Linked DNA regions of Daphnia pulex. The protein of the gene in region 3 interacts with the protein of the main gene of each other region in a pairwise test. Links are inferred from orthologs where the notes say so. Each region holds a gene or a part of one and is shown on either strand. Other genes may lie near its edges. The genes, in order: ral guanine nucleotide dissociation stimulator-like 1, serine/threonine-protein kinase B-raf-like and GTPase HRas.

Region 1 (3,074 bases), on a different chromosome or scaffold from region 3:
CGAATACCTGGATTAGTGTTCCTCGTTTGCTGGGATCTTCAGCGATGTTACGATAAGCCTGAACCGTGACTAGAGCAGTACTACTTATGTCTTCCATTCTGCCGTCATTAAATCCTGAGGAATAAAAACAAAAATTTGTATTGAATTCAACATCAAGCAATAAAATTCTATATTCTATGCTTTTATTTTCCAAATCTCGAGAAAATGAATCAGCATTAACGAAACTAACCTCATGTTTGTTGATCATAACAAGGGGTCCTTTCTCAAAATGGATCCTGTACAGGCCGAGGTAACTAGCCGCTAGATGGCTCAGCTGTCCTCATTACGTGTAAAAATATACTGTTAAGCGGAACTGTTTTATCCCACTGTTACCATACCAGTTTCCAAAACAACAATCATCACGTCATGCATCACGAAATTTTGAGGTCAGTGACACATTTCTGAAGTAAAAAAAAAATGGTATTAAAATAATTGGTCGTTGACCTATAAAAATGTAAAAGCCGAGTGCGTAGTAGATGGTAAATGATTTATTGACATCACTGTAGACGACGCGGGAAAATGAATAACAAAATCTCACAAGACACTTTGAAATCGAACACGGGGCTGATTTGCAGATAAACATAAATCAAAATTTGTCGAGTAACGTGTAAAAAAGATGCTTAGATTTCGTTGAAGATGCAAATTTGTAGCTGAAAATGGAAAACAAATCAACAGAAGAAGAAGAAAGGAGCCCAGGTTTTTGAAATTTCTTGGTCCAGATCATTGCGCAGATTCGCGGAAGAAACTGCTTCACTTTTGGTAGGTATTGCTCGCACAATTCAAGTCATAGATATATCAAACACGCACACAAGAGACAATTCCATCATTGCATAAATCATCAAGATATTTTGATTGCAACAACGCACACTATTTTGAAAGATTCATCGTTATCACATTATGAAAATAGAATGATGTATACCATGCATATGTAAAACAAAAGAAAATAATAAATTGGGGTCATAGGGAAGACGAATAGTAGAACCAATAAAAGAATGATCACTGCATGCCGCCATCATCATCATCATCAAAATAATAATAATATTAATATACAGTAGAGAATGAGATTTTGTCTTATTATTATTTTCTTCTTGTTCCATTCTACTACAAACCGAGAGAGAGAATTTTCTTTCGTGCTTTCAGCGTGTCCTTGGCGGACGAGTCTTTGTGGCATTCCCTCATGCGCAAGCGAGTGGGAGTGGAGCGACCGGAGGCGGAACCCGACGATCCAGGAGGAGTGTGGTGGTGGTGATGATGAGCCATCGATTCGCCTCTGGGCCGCAGGATGAAATTCAAATCGCAACTGGTATTAATGGCGTAGTACACGTTGGCGTTCGAAGGCAGCACCATTTCTATGTTTTCGGGAATTAAATAAAATGGAATGAAATCATTTCCGATCCATCCATCCATCTGCATTAGAGTGACACGTAAAAAGAACCTACCTCCTTTGGGTAGGAGCTGAGCCAGTGTATAATCCTCGGGATTACCCTCGAGACCGTGTTTGACCATGGCGTTGCGGATGACCTGAGGACTCCGTTCGTGATTGCTGACCATGATGGACTTGTAGAGGTTGATGCCCTCCGTCTCTTTGGATGGGGTGGCGATGGAGACGCGAATGACGTAGAAATCTGGCGTCCTCATGGGACTGACGCTGTAAGGGGGCGTCACTCCTCGGGGCAGGCTGCCAGCTTTGCTCGGCGTCGCGTTCTGAGATGACGAATGGGTCCCGACACTCAGGCCCGTCGTCCCGCCTCCGCCGCTGCTGCTGACGGACACGTCCAGCGAAGGCAGGGACGAGCTGCTCGATGAAGACGATAAATGCGTGTGAAACATTTTCTGCTCGAGAGAGGCCGAACTCTCGCCCAGCGAGAGGTTGGCGCTGTTGGCGCCGTCCAGTTCCGACAGGAATTGGCTGCTCGAGCTGCTCGACGTGCTGGCGATCGAATCATTTTTACGGTGGCCGTAACCGTTGGGTTTGCGTCGCGGGAACTTTTCGCTGTTGCGGGCCGAGCTGTGCCCGGAATTGCACGGCTCCAAGTTGCACGACAATTCGTAAGCTTCGCGATCGTCCAGCACCATCAGCGACTCGAACCAGCGCTCGAAACGTGAGTCGTTGGCGATTTGATAGGAATTGGCTGCTCCTTGAAACAATTTGATTTGGGCTAGGACCTCGAATTCCTTTCTCCTTTTGTCGAAATTGATTAAACCGTCGGCTGTCGTATCCGGAATGGCCGTGTCCACCATCGTCAAGTCCGTCAAGAACGTTCCCAAATACGGAATGGTCCCATGGCTTATAAGCTGTTGTTTTTTAGAAAGAATAAAGAAAAATAAACAAACGGGAATTTGTCACAAACAGAAGCAGGAAAAAAGAATAAAATCTAAAAATGTTTATGATTATTAAAATAAAATAAGAAAAAAAAGGAAAAACTGACGTTGGAGTGGCTGGCCTGTTTCTGGATGACCTTTAACATTTGTCGGTCATTCTCGCCGGCTGTTTCGGCAAACTTGGCCGTTCCTTCTTTCATGAGCAACTCTCTCTGAGCCGATTGATTATTTTCCTCGCTGAAAATTCTGGCCAGCTCCTCGTACACTTCCACTTTATCTCTCGGGACGTTTGCCCAAACGTGTTTGAGTCGGTAGATTGGATTCGATTGCAGCGCTGAAATGATGGCCTTCAGCGACGAGAAATTCTTTAAAACTCGTAATTCCTGTACGTGATCACATGTAAAAACAGCCAACACGTTATTATAATTTCATTCCAACAAACAAAACAAGACAGAAGCCAATGGCCCCCTTTTTATTAATTTCTATTAAATTAAAACCCTAGTTGTTTTATCGTCGTCACCTGTGCAACGTCAATCCACTTGGCTATGACGCGAGCCCTCTGCTGGGATCTCGGCTCGGTCGACCCGACCAGGATGGTACTGATGACGCGATAGGACACGGCGTTGAACTGCTCGACGGTGGCCGCCACTGAAGAAGCTTCCGACGAACGGGCGCCTTTGCCGATTTTGCCCTTGTCGCGATCTCGACGAGAC
Region 2 (3,758 bases), on a different chromosome or scaffold from region 3:
TGTTCCCGGGAGGCATGCCTGGGCTCTCCCGTTCACCAACCTGGCTATCGGACTTACGTTGCCCACCTGTGCGTAACCTAACCCCCAAGTCATTTTTTTTTTCACCTCAGTTTTTCGCGATTATTTTCTGTCCGTCTTATGAATTTGTATTGGATCCAAAATCATAAAAGAACTAATAATCAACAACTCTAGTTGCCCTAGTAAAACAACAAAAATCCCAATTCTTGAATTGCGCTTTTCTGCTGATTTTGGATCGTCAATGAAAATGCTTCGACCTTGCTTGCTTCATTTCCTCCTTTACGTCACCCCTTCTGCACTTCGATTCATATTTGCTTCTACCTTTAATTTACAAATTTTTTTGAGTTTTTTTTTAATTGTTATTTTATTTGAACCGCTAATTTGACGCAATTTACTATCACGTTTTTGCATGCTTCGCGCCTTTTGTTAAATCACCACCAGCCAACAACAGCTACTTCCACCGAGGTAAATTTCAAAGGGCAGACAGTCGTCATTTAACTGAACTTTTTAAAATATTCGTTGGATCAAAAAATGGGGTCGATGTTTCAAACTAATAATCCGCTTCTTAACTTGATAGTAACAAATTTCATGGGAGGCGGCGGAAGCGGAGGCAACGGAGGAGCCCCACCCACCCTGAGTGGTCTTGGCGGAGCTTCCAGTCCGGGTAGCAGTCCGACTAAACCGTCGCATAGTCACAGTGCACAGGCCAGCCCAACCAATACTTTACGGCCATGGAGACCACGAGCAAGAAGCGCGGACGAAAGTAGCAAAAAGGTACAACTCAAAAGGTGGAAAAGTAACAAAAAGTGGATGATTTATCATATTGAAATCAACAGGTGCGAGCGTCTCGCGAATCGATCGAAGATTGGGAGATTCCCGCAGACGAGATCCTCATTGGGCCGCGCATTGGTTCTGGCTCCTTCGGAACTGTATATCGCGGACACTGGCACGGCCCAGTCGCTGTCAAAACCCTCAATGTCAAAGATCCGACACCAGCTCAGTTACAGGCATTCAAAAACGAAGTGGCAGTGTTGCGGAAAACCAGGCAAGTGTTCACATCAGTTGTACTAAGCAATTAATACTCGTTAATGAACACAATTCATTTAATGGAACCATTTTTCCCGTTAGACATGTCAACATTTTACTCTTTATGGGTTGCGTGAGTAAGCCGCAATTAGCCATCGTGACGCAATGGTGTGAAGGTTCATCCCTGTACAAACATCTCCACGTTCTCGAGACCAAGTTCGAGCTTCTAACACTCATCGAAACAGCGCGTCAAACAGCTCAGGGCATGGAGTAAGTTGTGTCGCTAACCAATGTAGACGAGTGAATATTGAATTCTTCTTCTCGTCAATTTTTAGTTATCTTCACGCCAAGAACATTATCCATCGCGATCTTAAAAGCAACAATATATTCTTGCACGACGACCTAACTGTCAAGATTGGAGATTTCGGTCTTGCCACGGTCAAAACACGCTGGTCAGGATCTCATCAGTTTCAGCAACCTTCGGGTACTTGCTTTTTACCAAAAATTAAGGAAAACACATCCAATTCGTTTGTTTCTATGTTAGGATCAATACTTTGGATGGCGCCGGAAGTGATACGCATGAAGGATGAAAATCCGTACAGTTTCCAGTCAGATGTGTACGCTTTCGGTGTTGTCCTCTATGAACTGTTTAGTGGCCAGCTACCTTATTCGCACATCAGCAACAAAGATCAGGTATAATTCAATTAGGAATTCAAAAAGGAAAAAAAGTGGTGTTAAAAGTTCAATCGAATATTTTCTAGATATTGTTCATGGTGGGCCGAGGATTCCTTCGTCCTGATTTGAGTCACGTTCGATCAGATACACCGAAAGCGCTTCGCAGGCTACTGGAATCGTCGATCAAGTTTACGCGAGAGGAACGACCTCTTTTTCGCCAGATACTCGTCTCCCTCGAAAGTCTGTCTCGTTCCTTACCCAAAATCCATCGCTCCGCTTCGGAACCTACACTGAGTGGAAGTCATTTCCAATCAGAGGATATTTACTTCGCCTACGCCCTGCCCAAGACTCCTATGAACGCCCAATTCGGCGCCTTTCCTCTATTCAATACGGGAGGTGTCATTTGAAAAGGAAAAAATAACTGGAAAGAAGAAACTAAACCAACAAACTGGAGAAACCGGAATTTTAATCGATAATTACGTTTAGGAATTCTGCCATTGCGACGCCACTCCTGCCCACTCTTCTTCGTTTCTCTATACTCAAGTTCAAAATATTGTTTCCCTTCTTAAGCTTTAATTGATAAAAACAAAACAAAAACAGACATACCATAGTCGACGATCCCGTTTTTTTCTTTTCTTTTAAATCAATATTATTTTTTTAGAGGAGTTCGTGACACTACCTTCAGACAACTCCGATCCTAGCATAGGAATGTACTGTACACAATATTATTGGCACCGTTGGTTGTGTTGTGTAGACTACAAATTGACTGTCCCCCCCACTCTGCTCGTACACCGGATATATCTATTGTACCTTCTGTCGTCCGTTAGCCCCCAAATCCTTCACCTGTTGACGAGAGCCGTGAAACTTCTCGCACACTTCAGACTCTTTTCCTTTTTAAAAAAAAAACTTCTCTGTTCCTCCGCCCGGCGCTGTTCATTAAATCCTAATTACTACTATTCCCTCCACCCGATATATGCTCCCTATTCTTCAACTCTCTTTCTCAAAATTCTTCGGTTTCGTGCATGTGTATGTTCCATGTTTTTGTTCTCCCCCTCCCCTCACCCCTAATCCTTCGTCACGTACAATTCGTCGTCTTGTGCGAAATATGAACATTTCAAGTCCAGCCTACCATGCGAGGTATCCCTGCTACTCGGGGGGAAAGAAGACTGACAAAGCAAGAAATACCACAAAACAAAATTGTATCCCTCCACGTTGACGTTATGTATAGGCGAAAACAAAAAACCGAAAAATTAAGACTAATTCAAGAACACAAAACAACAAAAAAAGAATAGGTACCAACGGAGAAACAAAAAGAAAAGAAAACATTTAAGTGAATATCCTAGCTGGTTTTCCTGTCCACTTGTGTAATGCTTTCCTCTCCTCTGCTGTATATATACCCCCGACCGTTGCGATAAACCATTCAAATAAACATGAAATGCCTCAAATTCAACTCTACACTCTTTGTCTTTGTCGGTTCTTTCCTTTTAAAAAGATGAACACGCTGCGTATCTCTTTGAGCTTCGTTACAATTAAAACCATGTGTCACCAAATAATTATCTTTTCGACAAACTGATAACAGGCCTGCAACTGGACGTGAATGATTGACGAACCAACAAGAGATGCGACACACGTTCTAATCAGGATCCAGAGGGGAAATGACAATCGGACTAAAGCTTGAATGAAATAACATCGTTCCTACCTTTATAAATGACTGACGGCCAGGTGATGCAGAGGAATCTGAAGTGCAGTTTAGAAATGTGGTAGGGCAACATTTCTGATGGGATGTCTCTCGAGTAGTCATTTGCTGTCCTCCTGTAATTAATTGTAGGGTATTTTAATTTATGTTTGATGATCTTTAAAATTTGTCTATAAACTTTCAATGAATCAAAGAGCAATCTTGAGAAAGAACTACCACATGGTAATTGGAGCACACCCTCAACATTTTCACAAGAAGCCAAGCAAGCATGCAAAAAGCTAAAGCACACGTCCCGCACACCATCATACACGTGCAAGATTTTTCTAGGTGATTTAAGGGTCAT
Region 3 (3,442 bases):
TGTCCATGGGTTATTTTCTTGATGAAGAGCAACTCGTTTTCCTGTATCAGCTTATTGAAGATATGTGCACAAATAGTTTTCCTTTAAGTGTCGCGTATGCTTCCGGATTGCCTAATTTTGTCATAAAGCGAGCTCAAGAGGTTAGTTATGTTTTTTTAACAAGAAAATATGACCATTTTTATGTTTTTTCGTGAATATTTCTAGATGCTGAAAGCAGTTGACAGTGTTGGTAATATGACACCCAATAACCTAATATGGAATGATGCAAAATGCTCAACTTTACGCAGAATTTCAGAGTCTTTCTTCGCAACTGATCCTTGGAATGTTGACGATTTAAAGCAGTTTACAAGACGAAATATTCTTGGATGTTGGAGTTCCGTTCCGAATAACTAACAATTATTTTGTCATAAAATCTATAAGTGATTGCGTTACCAATTTTCATTTTTGAAGTGATACATGTGTAAACTGTAAACTATATGTTACCAAGAACAAGAACAAATTTCATCCTCAAAATGAACTAAAAATTCCATTAATGCTGCAAGAATTATTTAATATTAACTACTAAGCCAGAAACGATACACACCACTTTCAAATCTCAGCTTGACGATCATGAATGTGTATTCGCTATTACATGTCTATCGCAAGACCATTTAAAAATAATGTTCGAAAATGAAGTTTTCTGAAAACGTCCAAATTCAAGTCCGTGATATGCTTTCAATTGCAGTCCACGGCAAATAGGGCAGTAAGAATTGCTACATCATTAAGAAACCGTGATTGATAAAACTTGTGAACGTACCAAAATATTACAAACAGGTAAAACGACACAAGCCACACTTACGCACATACTACGCTGAAAGAATTGACAAATACATCTTATATTCGCGGTCTAATTACCATTACCCTTGTGAACAAAAAAATACATCCCCTCCCAAGCCATTCAATCAAAAGGCCTGTTCAGTACCATCTGCTTAGCTACGAGTAGAAAATTTTACTTGTAGAATATTTTCAAACATCCAATCCAATTGCATTCGGCCATAGAATATGGCGTATAGCTCGACAATCAGAAAACACAACTAGAAGTTGCGTGTAAATAAGTTTTTGAACCATGGTACTTTCCTAATCACACCGACGATTACAGAATATGACATTTCAAAGGACGGAGCTTGCCGCCTGGCTTTTTCTGTTTGTCTCGGCCTCGGCGTTCCTTCTAAAAACAAAAAAAAAAACAAAAAATAAAAAAAAAACACCACAACAATTATTATTCCATACATACTTCACTTGTTTTTAATCAAATGAACATGTTTTAAACATTATTCACAAATAATAATACTATTTAATAATAGTAGAAAGTAAAAACTTACATCTTTGCGTATCTCTCTTACTAAAGTGTAGAATGCATCATCTACACCCATGCGAGTCTTGGCAGATGTCTCAACAAAAGGTATTCCATAATTTTTTGCAGCTTCCCTTGCTGAGGCCATATCAACAGCACGAGTGGGTAAGTCACACTTGTTGCCAACCACTATTGACAATTAAAAAAACAAAAAAATAAAAAATAAATTGTGCCCACAGGTAATTCTGTTAAAATAAAAAAAAATGTGTACTTACAAACCATGGGAACTTCTTCAGCATCTTTCACTCTCTTGATTTGTTCCCTGTATGCACTGATGTCTTCAAATGACTTGGCATTATTAACAGCAAATACAAGCAAAAAGCCTTCTCCTGTTCTCATATACTGATCTCTCATGGCACTGCAAGACAAACATTACCAAATACTTAAATGATGTGTACATATTTTTTGGAATTGAAAATAGAATACCTGTATTCTTCTTGCCCAGCGGTATCAAGAATGTCCAATAAGCAGGTCTCTCCATCAATGACAACTTGTTTACGATATGAATCTTCTACAATTATAAAGATTAAAATAGCAGTTAATAAAATCCATTTATTGTGATACTCCAATATGAATTTACCTATTGTAGGATCATATTCATCAACAAAACTATTTTCAAAAATAGATAAATTAATTATTTCATGACTATTTTAAAACAATTAAAAACTTACTGGTTTTGGATGAGCTGAATAGTCAAAGCACTTTTGCCTACACCTCCAGCTAAAATAGATTTGGAATCAAGTTAATTTAAATATTTGAAAATATGATCTCTATTATTAAAGTATTACCACCAACGACGACAAGTTTGTACTCGGTCATATTTGTAAGAGATGAGCTCTGGCGAGCAAGAGAAGTCAAAATAAAAACAGTAGGCTAATGAGGTTGAAGGGAGTTGCCTACAACCACAGAAATATCTTGCTCTTGATTGTTCCGACACTGGTGATCACATTGATCATCCACATGAGCAGGCACACTGTAAACCAGATATTATTCACTTTTTCACGAATAACTGAGTAAGACAAAAGAAAACAAAAGAAATATTAAATCGGCGTCTTTGGGAGAAGAATAAAGGAAGCAAAATGAGTACGATAGGTTTAGCATTGGCATTGGGAACCATCTGCAACTGTGGTTCATGTATTCAAGCGAAGGCCGCAGAACAGGAAATGAAAATCATCCTTCGAAACGCTATTTGTAATACAACGCCATCTATAGGACAAAAGAAAAGTTTATATTTCCCTCTTGGTCACGGAGGTCACCAAGGGGGTCTGGGCACCACATAATTCCCTATTCCTACTCTGATTTTTACGCCAATAACTTCGAAACTATGGATCATGCGATTGGGACAGTTATTTGTGTGACGTGAAACTACTAATTGAAAAACAAAAATTAGAATTTTTAATTCGCGAGAACACGACGAACGAACGCGTTTTCCGGAAAAATGGGCGGAGCTACACACTCCCACACCCCACATTACAGGGTTCGCGGACTTTCACTGCTGACACCCAGCGAGCGCTGCGCCCCAAGCGGTCGGTTACATCAACAAAACGGCTATCTATTTCACTTCGAAAAAATGTCGCGTGTAGATGACGCTGTCTACAATGTTCCTGAGTTTCGCCGCGAAACGAAAAATATACGTTCACTTAAGACTCTGTTGTTCACATAGTTGGCACTCTTTTCTCTAGTGATATCTCCAGATATGAGTCCTCTCAGGCTCTCACTGTTAGTTTCAATACACGGGAACACGGCGCACGAACACTTTTTATAAAAAAAAGGGTGGAACTATACAGGGAGTGTTCACAAACTACATCAGGCTTCAAGGGGGGGGAGTTATTAACAAAAATTTCCCGTAGGGATTCTGTACAGGTTGTTTGGTATCGGTTGTACACACGGAGGGTTAGTTCGAAATTAATTAAACCAATACGTAGATGGCTTTTTTTTAAATAGTGGCTTTTTTATTTCGAATTTCACCAATAGATGGCGCTTTGGAATTTTGAACTGCGCGCGTAGAAAGTGGCATCGAGGCTCTAGCGACCAAAAGTAATAGTAAAC

The links.
Region 1: the proteins of GTPase HRas (region 3) and ral guanine nucleotide dissociation stimulator-like 1 interact in a two-hybrid assay, tested with the Drosophila melanogaster proteins (2 studies listed by BioGRID). The link is inferred for Daphnia pulex from reciprocal best matches to the Drosophila melanogaster genes Ras85D and Rgl.
Region 2: the proteins of GTPase HRas (region 3) and serine/threonine-protein kinase B-raf-like interact in a two-hybrid assay, tested with the Drosophila melanogaster proteins (2 studies listed by BioGRID). The link is inferred for Daphnia pulex from reciprocal best matches to the Drosophila melanogaster genes Ras85D and Raf.

What each region holds. Positions count from the first base shown.
Region 1 is NC_060021.1:11,824,694-11,827,767, reverse strand, and holds the end of ral guanine nucleotide dissociation stimulator-like 1, read right to left. Parts: coding exon 2,882-3,074; intron 2,745-2,881; coding exon 2,469-2,744; intron 2,335-2,468; coding exon 1,479-2,334; intron 1,389-1,478; coding exon 1,141-1,388; 3' UTR 513-1,140; downstream 1-512. Other genes in the region: armadillo repeat-containing protein 1-like, read right to left, coding at 8-97.
Region 2 is NC_060021.1:7,354,711-7,358,468, forward strand, and holds the end of serine/threonine-protein kinase B-raf-like, read left to right. Parts: coding exon 1-68; intron 69-459; coding exon 460-483; intron 484-595; coding exon 596-792; intron 793-854; coding exon 855-1,063; intron 1,064-1,146; coding exon 1,147-1,314; intron 1,315-1,379; coding exon 1,380-1,528; intron 1,529-1,588; coding exon 1,589-1,737; intron 1,738-1,805; coding exon 1,806-2,126; 3' UTR 2,127-3,174; downstream 3,175-3,758.
Region 3 is NC_060019.1:5,053,456-5,056,897, reverse strand, and holds GTPase HRas, read right to left. Parts: upstream 2,554-3,442; 5' UTR 2,213-2,553; coding exon 2,182-2,212; intron 2,114-2,181; coding exon 2,065-2,113; intron 2,003-2,064; coding exon 1,974-2,002; intron 1,905-1,973; coding exon 1,820-1,904; intron 1,752-1,819; coding exon 1,609-1,751; intron 1,523-1,608; coding exon 1,362-1,522; intron 1,208-1,361; coding exon 1,133-1,207; 3' UTR 596-1,132; downstream 1-595. Other genes in the region: mutS protein homolog 5-like, read left to right, coding at 1-140, 205-393. UniProt on the Drosophila melanogaster protein: Ras proteins bind GDP/GTP and possess intrinsic GTPase activity. Plays a role in eye development by regulating cell growth, survival of postmitotic ommatidial cells and differentiation of photoreceptor cells.